Linked DNA regions of Drosophila melanogaster. The main gene of each other region encodes a partner of the protein of the gene in region 3 in a complex. Each region holds a gene or a part of one and is shown on either strand. Other genes may lie near its edges.

Region 1 (7,783 bases), on a different chromosome or scaffold from region 3:
CATTCTAACAGTACAGGATATTCATATAATTTAAAATTGAAAAGGGCTACAGTATTCACAACACAAATAACGTACTTAATTAGGTGGCGCTCGCATCGAACTTCCATTGGTGGTCATGCGATAGTAGAGATTGAATTCGGACTCGTAGTCCGCGAAACTGCCATTGTTGTATCGTTTACTGGGTGGAACGTAGCGTCGCAATGGATTCTCAAGCAGGAACTGATAGATGCGCTCGGCCTTTTCCAGCTGCAACTGAGTCTTCACCCCAATGGCCATCAGGTTGTCCAGCAATTGGTCAATTTCCTCGTGCTGACGACTCGCCTTCAGTCTCAAATCGTGCGGATCAACTGGGGAGCAGGGTGATACGTTTTCTATCAGACGGATATGAGACAAAATGTCGGAATCGAGCTTACCAATTAACGGCTGCAAATTCAATTTCAACTCAGACGTGTGTGCGGCAATTGCTGACGCCCACAAAATGCGTTTTCGGACTTCCTGCAGAGCGCCGAAGGGTGTTAGCAAATAGCCTGGTGCCAGTTGAACGGTGGAGGCCAACTCCTGGGCCTCGACGATGAGTGGATTGGCCGACAACAGGAAGGAGCTGTCGGAAAAAACATGAACTCTGGATTAATTGGAAATAGCACATTCAGCTAAAGTATGCTCTCACCAGGCGCGCGGCGTACAGCTAAATTTTTCCAGCGGTATTTCCAAAAATGTATTGAATTCCAGCAAATGCGATGGTAGCGTGGCTCCGGATGCAGCCATCAGTGTGGTAGATGCTGCTCCGCCCGGCACTAGCGTTTTGTTGTCAAAACTGCGACGCATCGTTGAGTTTATTGCGCTGCAGTTGCCATCGAACTCCACCTTGGTGCTGGAGAACACACTATCATTGGCCAGGCAAAAACTCTCCGCACCCAACATGGACATATTGCTGACTTTTAGCTTAGTGCTCATCAGCTGGGACTTGGCGTTTTGTTTCTGTGTGGCCGCTTGCATATCGTCCAGCAGGTTCTTCATCATATTTCGCGAAAACAGGATCTTCTCCTTGATCTGTGACAGCTGCACCATATCTTGCTGGATGCGATTGATGCTGGAGTTAATGTCGCCGTATACTTGTTTCACAGAGCCTAGCTTTAGATCGTGATTCTCCAGCTGCTTGGCGCCCGCATCTAGCTCCAGACGCAGTTGCTCAATCTGCTCACGAAGGAATTCGTTTTGGGAGCGATTAAAATTGCGCATGTTGTACTGCACCAGATAGTCGCTAATCAGTTCATCCGCATTTTCCTCGTCGCCCAAACTTATGCCATTAAATCTGTATACCTTTGATTGCAGTTTGTCCACAAAGACGCTGTAGTCTTGGCAAAAGCGTTCCTCCTTCAGTTCCAGCTCCTTTTGGGCCGCGAAATATTTGGCCGCCAGACCCAGCATATCGGCCTTGGTCTTTAGTAACTTGACCTCATAGTTATTCAGCGGTGGCTTATCATTTGTGCATTCGCCTCTGGATTCATTCAGCTTCATGATGTGCTGCAGCTGCTCCTCTTTGATCTTCATTACCACGTTCAGAAGCAGGGAGTTGGGAATATCCGCAAAGGTGCTCCGCATCTGATCCCATAATCGCTGCTTGGCCTCGGCTAAATTGTTCACCGCATTGCCATCGTCACACATTCCATAGAAGGTCTCCAGCTGCTTGAGAGCCTGCTCCACAGCCCTTGTTGCCTGCGCCTCGCTGGCATTTCTAGCACTCAGCTTCACGGGCGTGGTGCCCAAGATTTGGATCTTGTTCTTCAACTCCTGGTCGTAGTTCTTATTCAGCGACTCCAGCTTCAGGTCAAGGATATTGCATTTGGATTCAAGTAGTTGCTTCCGGTTCTCAGCACTGATGGTTTGAATGTCTGTATGGGATTCACCGCATTAAATTGACGTCAAGGTTATCAGTATGTTCACTTTATACCCACTCTTGGTCTTGATGCCGGCAGATAGCTTTTGGTACTCTTTTCGGGCCTCCGTAAGCTGTTGGTTCGCCTTCTCCTTGTGCTTCTTTAGCTCCTGTATTTTTTGGTACCTCTGGAGCTCCGGTGGCTGGAAACTCCTAGAGGCCAGCGGCACCATTTTGTCCTTGTAGCGAGCCACTTGGGCAATCAGCAGGTTCTCGCGCACCTCCCGCACGTAATCCACCGGCTGGATGCGGGATTGCAGCTGGTTCAAAAGTAAACTGGAGCCGGACTTAAAAATTCTGTGAAGCAAAAAGCGGGTTTTAAGTACGGATAGTTGCCGATTTGCCTAACACAGCTGTAACTTACCTTCGGAGTGCATCATCGGTGGGCAGGGCAGTGGGCGGGCAGCCAAGATTAGTGGCCCAGTTCTTAAATTCTGTTATTTTCTCCTGGTATGCCATGATTTGCAACTAATTAAATTTTTCGCAAAAAGGCGCAGTCGTTTGAACCAGCCATTCACCAACACAATCAAATATGGCAGGGTTGTCAACAAACTACTATTCGCATCAAGTTGGCAGCAACTATAACGGTTATTTAAATTAATTTTTCATTTTAAATTACAACTAAAGATCATATCTAATTATTGAATGGATATAATACTTACTTATAAGCAAGAATTCTGTTAATTAGATATATTCCAGATTTTTTTTATTTATGATATTTTTGGATTTACCAATTAGTTTACCAACTCGTTTTTATAGTGCTGAGAAATACGTTTGCTGCTAAACAGCTGGGAGAGCAAGTAGCTAAAATATCTTAATTAAAAAGTTCCACGTGTTTTCCAAATATATATACTAACGTAATCTGTATAAATAAACTGTGTAAGAATCAAGCAAAGTCCGACAAAATAAAATTTAAAGTAATATATAATTTTATTAGTTATTAATATATGTTGAAAAAAAAACATTGTTCATAGCTAGTTAAAAGCTGAAAAGTTGACAGCACTGGCTCAAGCAATTCCCTCTGACCAGTGCTGGAAAACACTCGCTGTCTTTTGAGCGGCGCACGTGGAGCAAAATCGAAGTGCTCACGTTTTTTTTTAAGTTCTGCTCCAAGAAACTGGATAAACTAAGTTAAAAATATGGGTCGGAAGGCTGAATACAGTGAGAAACCGAAAAAGGGACCTGGGCGCAAGGCGCGCAAGCAAGGACCGCCTGTTTTTCGCAAACAATCGTTTGGTGAGAGCTCCTGAATATTACCCTATTCAATGGGTGTTCAATTCAAATGTTTTACTTCACAGCTCCCATGGAAGAGGAGGACAAGAAGCTTTCCCACCGACAGAAGCAGAGGTTCGTTAAGCGAGAGCAAAAGAAAGTAGTCCAGAAGGCCAAACTACAGGAGAAGAGGGCCAAGGGAAAGTTACCACAACCGGCTAAGCGGAAGACGGCCTACAACAGCGACAGCGATCCTGAGGATAATGAAGAGGAACCACAGGTTGCATCCTCCGATGAGGAGGTGCCTCAACTGGTGCCGGCTCCGAAGGGCCAGAAAGCTACAGCTCCCAAGGGTTTTACAGATGATAATGATGCCTGGCTGAAGCCCAAGAAGCAACAGAAGCAGCCAGAAACGGAGTCCGAGGAGGAGGAGGAGGAGGATGAGGAGTCGGAGGAGGACTCCGAAGATGAGTTGGGAGAAGAATGTGAAGAGGAAGAGGAGGGAGACGATGAGGAAGGATTGGAATCTGATGATGATACCGCTCAGGTTGGCAAGCTGGCCGATCTATCCGACGATGATGATGCCAACTCCGACGATGACTTTGACATATCTGGCGAGGAAGATGGTGCTCAGGCAGACAGTGATGAAGAGGAGGATGAGGACGACGACGATGATGATGATGATGATGATGATGACAAGCTGCCCATCGAGCGGGCTAACAAGAAGTTGAAAAAGCGCGAGGCAGAGGAAGCCCAACTGGCCGACGACGAAATGTTGGAAACCGTTGACAAGCAGGATGTTTTCCAGCTACCCGTCGAAGGCGAAGAAACCGAGAAGGACCTAACCCTGCAGGAAGTGCAACAGCGCATAAAGGACGTCAGTCTGGTTCTTTCCGACTTCAAAAGGTATCGTCAAGCGGATAGGTCTCGCGGGGAGTACATCGATTTGCTGCGCAGGGATCTGTGTTTGTATTACAGCTACAACGAATTTTTGATGGAGAAGCTGATGGATATGTTGCCGCTGACAGAGCTAATGGAATATCTGGAGGCCTCAGAGGTTAGTATATTTCATAAAAAATATAGTTACAAGATTAATCATTAAAAATTAACCCCTTTAGATTGCTCGTCCCCTAACCATACGCACCAATACTCTAAAAACACGTCGTAGGGATTTGGCCGGAGCTCTGATCAATCGTGGCGTCAACTTGGATCCCCTTGGTAAATGGACGAAAGTTGGATTGGTTGTCTTTAACTCACAGGTGCCACTGGGTGCAACTCCAGAGTATCTGGCTGGCCACTACATGATCCAGGGCGCCTCTTCGCTGTTGCCTGTAATGGCACTCGCCCCGCAAGAGAACGAACGCATCCTGGACATGTGCTCCGCCCCAGGTGGAAAGGGATCCCACATCGCAAGCATCATGAAGAACACTGGTGTGCTCTTCGCCAACGATTCTAACAGGGATCGCATCAAGGCCATTGTTGCCAATTTCCATCGCCTGGGAATTGTAAATGCAGTGGTCAGCTGCGAGGATGGCACTAAGTTCCGGAATATTATGACTGGCTTTGACCGTGTCCTGCTGGATGCTCCGTGCACTGGAACTGGCGTCGTCTCTAAGGATCCCAGTGTGAAGACCACCAAGTCGGAAGTAGATGTACAAAGGTGCTACAACCTGCAGAGGAAGCTTCTGCTGACTGCCATAGATTGTACGGATGCGAAGTCATCAACTGGCGGCTACATTGTATACTCAACTTGTTCGGTGTTGCCCGAGGAGAACGAATGGGTCATCGACTATGCACTGAAGAAGCGAAATGTCAAACTTGTGCCCACTGGTCTGGACTTCGGCGTGGAGGGCTTTACCAAATTCCGTCAGCATCGGTTCCATCCTAGCTTAAACCTTACCAAGCGCTACTATCCGCACACCCACAACATGGACGGGTTCTACGTGGCCAAGCTCAAGAAATTCTCCAACACCATACCCATAACTAAGGAGCAGCAGGAGGAGGATGAAAAGCAGCTGGATGAGGCCATCGAAGCGGACGCCACTACAGAAGCGGCTGCGGAGTCTGAGGAGGTGGAGGAGGAGGTAGCGTCAAAGGAGAAGGGTCCCCGAAAACTGCTTGGAAAGCGCGCCGGAAAACCCAGTTTCACCGAAATCGAACAGGAACTGAAGAAAAAGAAGCGGGAAGAGAGCAAGACCAAGTATGTGGCCAAGGTGTTTGAGCAGCCTGTCAAAAAGCCAAAGCCAGAAAAGCCAGCAGAGAAGAAAAATGAGAAATCCCAGGCACCGGACAAGCAAACAAATTCAAGCGAGTCACCTTCCAAGTCTGCACCTAAACAAAAACAAACCAATGGGAAAACCACTGTTTCCAATTCAGATGCGAAATCATTCAATAAAAAGAACAAAGGATCGCAACCCAAGGAAAATGGAGCCGGATCACCAGCTAAACCAGATGACAATAAGCCAACAACCAATGGCACAAACTCCCCTAGCAAATCAGCAATTAAGGAAACGAAAACGAAGCCACAGCCGAAAGGAAAACAGTCGCCCAAGGGAAACGCCAAACTGGCCAAGGCGCCGCGAGTGGATATCGACGATGTGCCCATTCTCGAGGGAAAACCCATCAAGAAGCAGAACAAGCTGAAGCAAAAATCCAAACAGATCGGCCAGCTGAAAAAGTCCACGGCGGGTGCGAATGCGGGAAAGAAGCAAAAGTTCAAGAAGTGAACACCTTAGATCCAGTTTTGTTAAGTAGACTATAAGCGTGTGACATATAGTTGGGGTAGTCCCGACGCGATTACCAATTTTATATTGCGAACTGTCTTAGCGAACGATTGAAGATTGAACTACAACAGCGGTGTAATTAAGATTCAATAAACGTTAAGATCGGTTTAATGTACTCACCAAGCGGGTTTATATAGGTGGCAGGCACATTTCATTAGAGGTAATTGCTCTACATTTCAAATGTGAATTCTAGTATTGACCAAGCTGTCACTATCAGCCCCAAAGCTCTATAGGTAGTTCGAAGGTGGCCGAGCTCAGCAGAGCGTTGCGATAATCTGTTGTTTCATTGTGAATCGAGCGAGCTTAATGGGATGTTTACTTTTACTGTGCTCTTGCCTGGTGGCATTATTCATTCCCATCCAGGCAATAGTGGACATCAACGTGGCAACGTCGAACGATATTCACAATAATCTCAATAGAACAACATCACCGTGCACGAATTTCTGGAATTTTGCCTGCGGTCGCTTCTCCAGTGCCTCTAAATATGTGGACAACTTTGAGCGAGTCGAGGATCAGTTCGCCACTGCCATGGTGGAATTCATGGAGAGCCACTTGGGTGAAAACGATACACTGGCACCCCGACTGATAAAGCAAATGCGACAATACTACAAGGCCTGCAAGGAGGATACGCGAAAGCTTCACGGGAATCCTCGTCCCGAAGAACTGGTCAATCAGTGGATTTTGCATCCTAAAAAATTTCTCGTATACGGCTTGAATGGTGTATTCATTGATGAGCGAGTTGATGTGGCCGCCAATGATTCCATGCGTTGGGTTATTCAGTTAAGGATGCCTGACCCGGCTGATAGATATAGTGACCGCCGTGTCTTGCAGCTCATGCGCCTTTACGAAGAAGCGTGGTACTCGATGGGAGTGGTTAAACTGGTGGAGAAAATGCATCAGCTGCAGGATAAGTATCGTGCAGAATATCCTGTTGTATATACATGGAGTTTCAGTGAATTAAGGCAGGAAATCCCTATTCCGCATTCCTTTTTTATTGAGTTATTGGGCGTGAACCACACCGAGGAGCTTTATCACCTGACTTTCGAGGTGAGTGATGTTGAGTATTTGCGGGAATGTTTTCGCTGTCTACGGGATTTCGCCAGTGAGCCGAAGGACACGTACATTCGAGCACGCCAATATGTTTTAGTGGAGGAGTCGGAGCCAAGGGAGCGGAATCCAAGAAGCTGCATTCACCATATGCGTGCCTATTTACCCCTGGGCATGAACTACATCTATGATCGATTTATATACCAAAACCGGGAGGAGGATACCAGTAAGGTACTGGAGATTTTATCCACTTTAAAGGCAGCTTTTGGCCAATATTTAGATGCCAATCGCCTGCAGCTTACGCCAAACCAGTTGGCCTATGTAAGAGCAAAGTTGGAAGGTATTCAGATCAAAATAGGAAATTTGCCTGAGGAGAAATCTCCTGAGTTCTATAATAACCACTATGGAAGTGCGAACTTTTCCGCGACAAACTTCCTGGCCAATCTCCTTGAAGCATTTGCCCTACGTACCCGTCTCCAGAATGCTGGACTGCTTGCAAGGAATTCTCGAGTGGATCTGCGGCACTATTATGTCAACGATAACGTAAGGAAGGCTCGCACTTCTCCCTTCTATGAGAACGAAAGGAACACCATTACTGTTCCCATGGAATTTTTGCAGTGGCCCTTGTTCGATCACCGAGAGCACACCATCTTCCAGCACAGTCTTCTGGGCGCAGTCCTGGGCCACGAGATGAACCACGCCTTTGAACAGGAAGGTATACTCTTCGATGCAGCTGGAAATGAGTCACCTGTGGGCTTGGAGATCCGGGAGTCGAAGCCTTTTCGGGATGCCATCAAGTGTGCGG
Region 2 (4,236 bases), on a different chromosome or scaffold from region 3:
GTCTTATTGTCCACACGCTGCAGCGTGGCCATCTCGACCTTCTCCGGGGTCAGCTTGGTGGTGTCCAGGGTCATGCTCAGTACCTTGATGGCCAAATCCTTGGCGTCCGCCAGCGTCAGCTTCACGTTCTCCTTATCGGCCAGCTCCTGCTTCAGCATGGAGATCGCGGCACCGAAGTTGTTGCCAATACAGGTGGCCTTCCATCCGCCGTAGTTGCCGCTGGGATCCGACTGGTACAGTTGGTAGCCGTACTTGTTGTCCCATCCCATGTAGAGCAGCGAGACGCCGAAGGGACGCTTTCCGCCGTACTGAGTGTACGCCTGTTTGATGTCGCAGAGGTGCGACACCAGCTGCTCGCAGGGAATCACCTCGCCGTAGCTGAACTGGTAACGCTGGGCAATCAGACGCAGTTCTGAGGTCAGCACATTGGCATCGGAGGTGATGCCAGCCACCGAGCAGACCATGTTGCTGAGGGAAAACAAAGAGGCTTGGATAGAGATAGATTCGTAGAGAATGTAGTGGGTAATTAAGATCATGGCCAGTTAAATATATGGCCTGTGACCCTTGAATTCATCGTAGGATATACTACTGAAATTTCAACTCACTCGTTCAGGCGATAGATCTTCTCCGAAGGAATGGCGCTGTCCAGCAATTTGTTTGTGCTGCGGCACTCGGCTGCCAACAGGATGCCGTCCTCGGCGAGGATTCCGAGGCAGGTTCCGGCGTGCGAGATGGCCTCCATGGCGTACTCCACCTGGTACAAACGGCCCTCCGGCGAGAAGATCGTGGTGCGGGAATCATAGCGGCGAGCCTGGGAAAATACACGCAAGTCAATTACTACCACGATTGCTAGCCTTCAATGGTCATCGGCCCAATGGTGGCTCTCAGACCAATACCGGTCTTCTGGGCGCGGTACTTACCATTGCTAAGGAATATACCAATTTACAAGTTTATTTTGCAAAACGAACAGAATTTACTTGTCATTCAGTGTAGGGTTGCCAGACTGCCACACGAAGTGCGTCCAAAGCGGTACCAGGGCTGCAAACTAGATGGCGTTAGGGTGTTTCTATTTACCAGGGGTGGTGTGCACGTTTATCCACATATCGATATAAGGTATTAAAATCATTTTAACAAAGATCAATTTATAAGCCCTTTAAGATTGAGGTGTACTAAAACATAATATTTACTTGAATTAAACTTAAGAACTTGTGTCAAATTTAGAAAAATTGTATCCTTACTTCATAGCAAAAATTTAAAATAATTCATATATAAAATATATATATATAATAAACAGAAATTTATTATATATATATATATATATATATATATATTATATATATTATATATATATATATATATATATATATATATTATATATATTATATATATATATATTTAACAGAAATAGATAAGAGTAAATATTTCATGAAATCGTTGATAGGAAATCAGGAATTTCTACGATTTTTATTAAGCTTAATTATTAAGCACTATTTCCTGTTAATTTTCAAAAGGTACCATCTCTAGTAACGTCTCTGAAACCTTTCGATATAACCGATAAGTAATCAGCTTGTGTTGTCATTTTTTTAAAAGATGGGCGATCTGCTGAGCGTATGTGTGATGATTTAATTAATGATCAGCTTATAATCGCCATGATTGCAGAACTCGGAATTCTTCAAGAAGCTGGGAGTGGACAGCTCGAACCAGTGGATTCTGTACGATGAGCAGATGGAGATGTTCTTCAAGTTCCTGTCCGGGAACATCACGGATGCAAATATCCTCACAGAGCGACAGGTTCTGGAGCGGGAGGAGATGCAGCGGCGGGGCGAGTGGCTAAGTGCTTCGGATCGCGAGCTCAAGCTCCTGCAAATCGAGGCCGAAAGTCCGGGGCTTCTCAACTACAAGCAGCAGGATGTCGACGCCTTGACCATGAGCATTGAGGCGATCGAAGATGCCTCAAGGGATTATGCTACGCTTCTGGAAGATATGATGTAAGGGAAAAACTGTAACCTTCCTCATATATGTTCGATCGATGGTCAATCCACTTTTGCAGGACCACAAAGCACTCGATAACTAAGCACCTAGGCGAGGTGGAGTGCGTCACCGCCGAGTTGCAACTGAGGGAGAAGGATCTGATAGCCGAGTGCCAGTCCAAAGCCAAGCAACTGGAGGAACTGCAGCAGGAGAACTGCCGGCTAAGCGCCGAAGCCAAAAAGGCATTCACCGCCCCACAGTTGCCGCCTCTATTCATGCATCAACTGCCATTGGAGCAGTATTTCCACAAATGCGATTCATTTATGCAATACTTTACTCTGTATGTGAAGGAGAATTTTAAGATCCAGGACTATGATGAGTTCCAGAGCGCGGAGGAAGATCTTGGGCGCGAAAAGGCCAAGCTGGAGGACTTGGAACGTGGGTAAGCACAAAGGTTCTGTGCTAAAAACAATGCACATTAATTGATATGACCGTTTTTACAGCATCCAGTTTTATGCACTATCCTACATAAGAACAAAGGCCAAGGTGAAGGCCACGCAGTGTCTTATTGACCAGTTGGATCTTGGCAAGATTCACTGCCTCAGTTTAACGGACATGGCGCGTGAAATGCACGATCTGCAGCTGCTCAACGACTATCAACTGAGCAATACACACGATACGCTTTTAAACGATCTAACCATTCACATTCAGCAGCACACCCAGCGACGTATTGAGCTGGTTCTCTACGAGAACACTAAACTGAAGTTGGAAAGAGCTGTTCGACGTCATGAAAGCGACAAGAAGCTCACTAAAATCATCTCAGATGCTCTGTCCAATGCGGAATTGCTGTGGATTGCGATCCAACTGGACTGCGACAAGAAGCGCAACTGCCTGGACACTTCGGAGGAGTTGCGCGACCAAGCGCAGGCCACTTGGCAAAGAATCCAGACCATGCGCTCCATTAACGCCAGTTATCAGGGCATTTGTGCCCAGTTTGTGCAGGAGATTGCCAATTTGTTGTCAGCCCACTTGGGACAGAACATAAAGGCAACTGAGGCCAAGGCTTGTCTCTTCGAATACGAAAAGTTCGGTCGCCTGCTGTCTTACTCCTTTCAGAGCATGCTGAACCGAAAGTCGTGTGCTGCTGTTCAGGATCAACTGGCAGAACTGTAAGTTGCAATACTTAACTTTGATACAGATCGTTTAAGCTATTAATATTTTTTTTTAGCAAGCGCTTGGAGCAGACTTTGCGGCCGTTTGTCTATGATTCCCCATTGGAGCAGCCCATGTTTGAGAACGTTCGCTACTTGAGCGCCATATACAATGTCACCCAGCAGCAAACTCGCCTGGATGAGTCAGGGCGTTCCTTGCGAAAAGATTTCCTGGAAAATGTCGTGGGGCGCATTGTAAGTATACTAATTAACTATAAAATCATGGAATATAACATTTTAATGTTGTTTATCCTTTTAGGAGCGGGATAAACTGTATCGCTATAGCGTAGTCCTGTGGATTTGGTTTCTCACTGAGCCGCAGCGCATGATGCATGCAATTGATGAGGTCAAAAAGGCAGCCGCTGCAGTAATTCGTCCAGGTGGTGGTCTGCACCGCAAGTGAACTTAGTTGATTTAGAATCTGGTCAGTAAATAAATGTTAAATTATTCAAAAATAAACATTACGGCGTTGCTAGTCTAATAATAAGTCAATACACTAAATTTAGGGATGCTGTATAATGTGTGTATGTAAAGATTCTTAGGCAGCAACATGATTTACTTTTGCTTACGACTTTGGTAATTGTTTTCCCCCCTTTGAAATGCCTTTTCCCTGGGCTATCAGATTTGGGTTCACTAAACACCGGGCGTATTAAGGCAGCATCGTCTTAAAGCAGTCTACACGAGTGCCACCAAAGAGACGCATTAATTGCTGGCGGCACGCGACGGCGTTTCCAAGCGATTACCATTCAGATTTGGCCAAGGAGCAACAAGTGAGGCCATAAAACCTTGTTCGCCTAACCTAGAGATTCACTTTCCGTGCAGACGAAGTCATTTGCCCGCCGATTTGCAGGACTCTCATTGGCTGCCGGCATTCGGGCTGCAGGACGAGTTTTGCCGAGCAGAGGTCCTTGCGGATATAAAAGGACCAACAGTTGTGGCCACTGGTTCACTCGATTATCGTGCTTCGGGCCATCTTTCCCCTCGTGACTTCCGGTAATACAATTGGATAAAGTGAAGTGTTTGTGCAAAGTGTGTTTTTTTAGTCAAATAAACC
Region 3 (3,487 bases):
ACATCTGAACAGTATATATTTACTGCAATAAATATTCACAATCAACATATTGTCGAAGCTAGCTTTTTTTCCTCTTTAAATGTATTATTATTATATTACTCACAAGTGGGGGTAAGTTTTGCGGTGGTCGCCTTTCTGGAGCGCTATTCGGCGCCGTATACTTTTGATTTGTAATTTGGTTCTGTTTCACGTCTGTCCTCGCATGCTGCTGTGAACCCATCGATGATTCACGAATTGGAGGTTTAATTATCGGTTCTGGTGGCAGTATGCTATTGCTTATATGATCCCGTGGATAATTGTACTCCTTGTCGGGGGAAATTGTCTCCTCGGGTATGGATTCGTCATCCGTCGATGAGTCCAGCTCATCATTGCACCCAGGGCTTCGGTTTAATACAGATGTGCGCTTCGATGGCATTGGAAGGCTGGGTTTTGGCCGTCCCTTAAGAGCTGCAAGGGCCTGTTGCACAGCCTCTTGTCGTACTTCTAGGGGTCAGATGATCAGAGATAAAATGTTGTTGCTGTAACTTGTTCTACTAACCAGAATGATAACGTTTCTCATTGTGCGTTACTTTGCGCTGTGTGCGTCGTTGACGATGCTGACTATTATTAGTTGACTGTTGGTTCTGAAAAGCACTTGGTTCGCGAGTGTTCTGATACCCGGGATCGCCGACTGCTCCACCCTGCGGTCGCATATTTTCGTAGCCAGGAGCCCCAGCATTTCCGCTCTGTGGTGCCGATGACAAGCTCATGGCGGCTTGCTGATGGAAGTCAATTTTTTTGGAATGTCTTTGCTGCGAGGAGGACAGGGAGGGCACTTCAGTCACATAACTGTAGCCCTCGCTGGACACAATGACGCCGTCGTTATTGATGTTTCCGTGGTTGGTGCTGTTGTTGGCATTTTTAACGTTGTAGTATGGCGGTGGCGGCGTACTTTTCACTTTATCGCCTGTTCACAACAAAAGGATCAAGAACTTTCTGGTGACGACCAAACGACCAAATATCAATGTTTTCGAACATACCTTCTGGCTTCTTTAGGAACGGCTGCAACAGCTTCGCCCTTTTCTTTTCGTAGCCTTTCTGCGTAATGTCACCTAGAAAAGCAGATGGAATTGTTTTCTTAACGATTAATATGTCCGCTGGGCCTCGTCGTTTTTTGAAAAGCGTGGAGTAGCGACTGAATCATGTATTCATGCTGAAAGCCACACAACACAACACACACACTTTTCTTTTAATTGGTCGGTCCCCGACTATATGTGGGCAGCTTTCAGCGAAAGAAAAGCCGAGAACAGCACTTGTAATCCCATTTGGGGGCGACAAGTATCCAATGATTTGAATCAGACCAGACTACGTCTGCCACAGTTTTCACGCGATTTTCTACAACTCAGTCGCCGCACTTTAACAACAATATTTTATTTTTGTGTGTATTATTCAAATAGGTATACCTTCCGACAGCTCTAAGTCCAGTTCGGCGAGCTTCTCGCGGACGTAGCCAGGCAGCGAGGCAGTGTGCTCCATGGCAGATGAAAAGTGTGGCTTTAGGGTTTTGTTCTATCCTCTTCCTTGGAGGATTCGTCTAAACTTTGGCTGGTCGCAGTACACAAACACACCCAGACACCGCTACTTTCCCACTTCGTTGTCAAAAATCGATCGATTTGCCATTTATTCTATTTCACATTTTGCCGACGCAAATAAATACATCCGTACTTGCGCAGCACCAGTACTTTGGGTTAGTTAGAAAACACGATATTACGAATGTCTTTTACGAATTTGCACAATGAAAGTAAACAAAGAAAAATAGCAGTACAAATCGATTTTATGAACTAGCGAAAAATTGATAACTATTTCTTCATACTCTTGGGACAACGGCCTTTTTCAATTTTCGAGATGCGGTCACACTGCCCAAGTAATCGAACCACGAATTTAAGTGTTATTTTTAATGATATTAGGCATAGAACCATTACAATTAAAAAGCTCTATTATTTATTACTTTAATCGCTTGTCTCTTAAAATTCGATTCAACAAAAGCAATTGGTGGCATTTTGCTAGGTAGCCCTGAAATACTGTAGAGACTATCGATATCTGCACCTAAGGCGCCTATTATCACATTCGGATTACGAAGACAAAGACATGCGAAACCTGGATACGATTAGTGGCGAAGAAAAGCAAAGTCCTGCCAACTTAGTCTAAATTGTTTCTAAGCCGGCTGCCTATACGCCTGCGTTTTGAGCAAAGCGGTAGTATCTTTTTCGGAACCATCGATAGCTTGTCATCTCCAGTAAAAATGCGTGAGTTTATTTAAAAAAAACGCTAGGCATACAACTAATTATTCTTATGATGCAGAGAACTTGAAGATCCAAGAGGAAGTCAATTCATTGATGCGTCTAGGCCAGCACTTCGATGACCAGTTAAAGCTGGCTAGCGTCGAGTTGGGCGATTTCTCGGACGATGACCTGGCGCTCCTTGACAAATGCGCCCAATATTATTCACTTTTGCACATTCACGACATCAATCTGAACTACTTGCGCGACTTCTATTGTGCCAAGAAGAGGGAATGCATAGAAAACCGGCAGACCACAGTGCAGCAACGCGTAGAGCTGCAGCGCATCCTCTCGTCCATCGAGGAGGCGACTAGGGACGTAGTTATGTTGGAGAGGTATTGGTGAACAAATCCCTTTAATAGTTGAATCCCTGACCAAAACCATTCTTCTGCAGATTTAATGCTGCTGCGGAAGAGCGGCTCATCCCGGATATCGTCGTAATGCAGCGAAACGCCCAACAGCTTGCAACAAAACAGGCCTTACTGGACCGGCAAAAAACCCTTAAGATCCCAAAGGATTTTAGCATTGAAAGTGTCATCGAGAAGGTAGATTCGCTGGAGCAGCGCTAAAGAAGTGAATTGCTTTCGTTTTTAAAAAATTATTTAATTGTATTTACTCAGTAATGCAAAACACTTTACAAAAACATAAAATCTGCAAATTTTAAAGATGAATGTTGAGGTTTACAACTTGGAACACTACACAATCAGAGGGTGCACTTATTTTGGTTATTGTACGCATTTTAAAAACGTTCCAATTGTTGCTAGGTTGTGTCAAATATTTATTTAAAGTATCATGATAGGAAAACTAGAAGACCAAATAATAATTTGCCAGCTGCTTAAAGCATACAAAAAGTGTACCGTGTTCTTCCATGCCATTGCTCATATGTATGTATTTGTGTATTTCCAATGTGGTATATGTATCATATATATTGGTGTATAGATAGAATTAGTAATTTCATATTCTTTAAGTTCTTGCTTGTTGTTATGTATATAAAGGGCGGGTATGTGGCAGACAATCTTTTCGGCTAGCAACGCGCTCCACGCCACAGGCCTACTCCACGTTTCCGGGCATCTTTTAGCGGAACTCGGGCGCATCATCTTGCGTTATGTCACCGTACTTCCAGATGGCCAGATGCGCGACCCGAGCTGCTTCCTGCGCGGCTTTGTACT

Evidence for each region. Proteins that work in one complex are often made in the same cells at the same time.
Region 1: wac (region 3) and dgt5 share a complex: the UniProt entries of both Drosophila melanogaster proteins name them as parts of the augmin complex.
Region 2: wac (region 3) and dgt3 share a complex: the UniProt entries of both Drosophila melanogaster proteins name them as parts of the augmin complex.

The regions. Positions count from the first base shown.
Region 1 is NT_033778.4:12,465,678-12,473,460, forward strand, and holds dgt5 (dim gamma-tubulin 5), read right to left. Parts: upstream 6,099-7,783; 5' UTR 6,052-6,098; intron 6,046-6,051; exon of another isoform or gene 5,875-6,045; coding exon of another isoform or gene 4,267-5,874; intron 4,206-4,266; coding exon of another isoform or gene 3,235-4,205; intron 3,173-3,234; coding exon of another isoform or gene 3,076-3,172; exon of another isoform or gene 2,974-3,075; intron 2,516-2,973; 5' UTR 2,396-2,515; coding exon 2,301-2,395; intron 2,234-2,300; coding exon 1,956-2,233; intron 1,893-1,955; coding exon 668-1,892; intron 602-667; coding exon 414-601; intron 348-413; coding exon 76-347; 3' UTR 1-75. Other genes in the region: CG8545 (uncharacterized protein), read left to right, coding at 3,076-3,172, 3,235-4,205, 4,267-5,874; Nepl10 (Neprilysin-like 10), read left to right, coding at 6,238-7,783. UniProt on the Drosophila melanogaster protein: As part of the augmin complex, plays a role in centrosome-independent generation of spindle microtubules. The complex is required for mitotic spindle assembly through its involvement in localizing gamma-tubulin to spindle microtubules.
Region 2 is NT_033778.4:20,991,678-20,995,913, reverse strand, and holds dgt3 (dim gamma-tubulin 3), read left to right. Parts: upstream 1-1,532; 5' UTR 1,533-1,590; coding exon 1,591-1,608; intron 1,609-1,659; coding exon 1,660-1,988; intron 1,989-2,050; coding exon 2,051-2,413; intron 2,414-2,474; coding exon 2,475-3,140; intron 3,141-3,199; coding exon 3,200-3,377; intron 3,378-3,441; coding exon 3,442-3,585; 3' UTR 3,586-3,638; downstream 3,639-4,236. Other genes in the region: Prosalpha3 (proteasome alpha3 subunit), read right to left, coding at 1-468, 606-811, 921-923. UniProt on the Drosophila melanogaster protein: As part of the augmin complex, plays a role in centrosome-independent generation of spindle microtubules. The complex is required for mitotic spindle assembly through its involvement in localizing gamma-tubulin to spindle microtubules.
Region 3 is NT_037436.4:256,111-259,597, forward strand, and holds wac (wee augmin), read left to right. Parts: upstream 1-2,065; 5' UTR 2,066-2,281; coding exon 2,282-2,285; intron 2,286-2,295; exon of another isoform or gene 2,296-2,340; coding exon 2,341-2,653; intron 2,654-2,712; coding exon 2,713-2,887; 3' UTR 2,888-2,987; downstream 2,988-3,487. Other genes in the region: DIP2 (DISCO interacting protein 2), read right to left, coding at 104-483, 539-946, 1,020-1,091, 1,443-1,515; Tudor-SN (tudor staphylococcal nuclease), read right to left, coding at 3,393-3,487. UniProt on the Drosophila melanogaster protein: As part of the augmin complex, plays a role in centrosome-independent generation of spindle microtubules.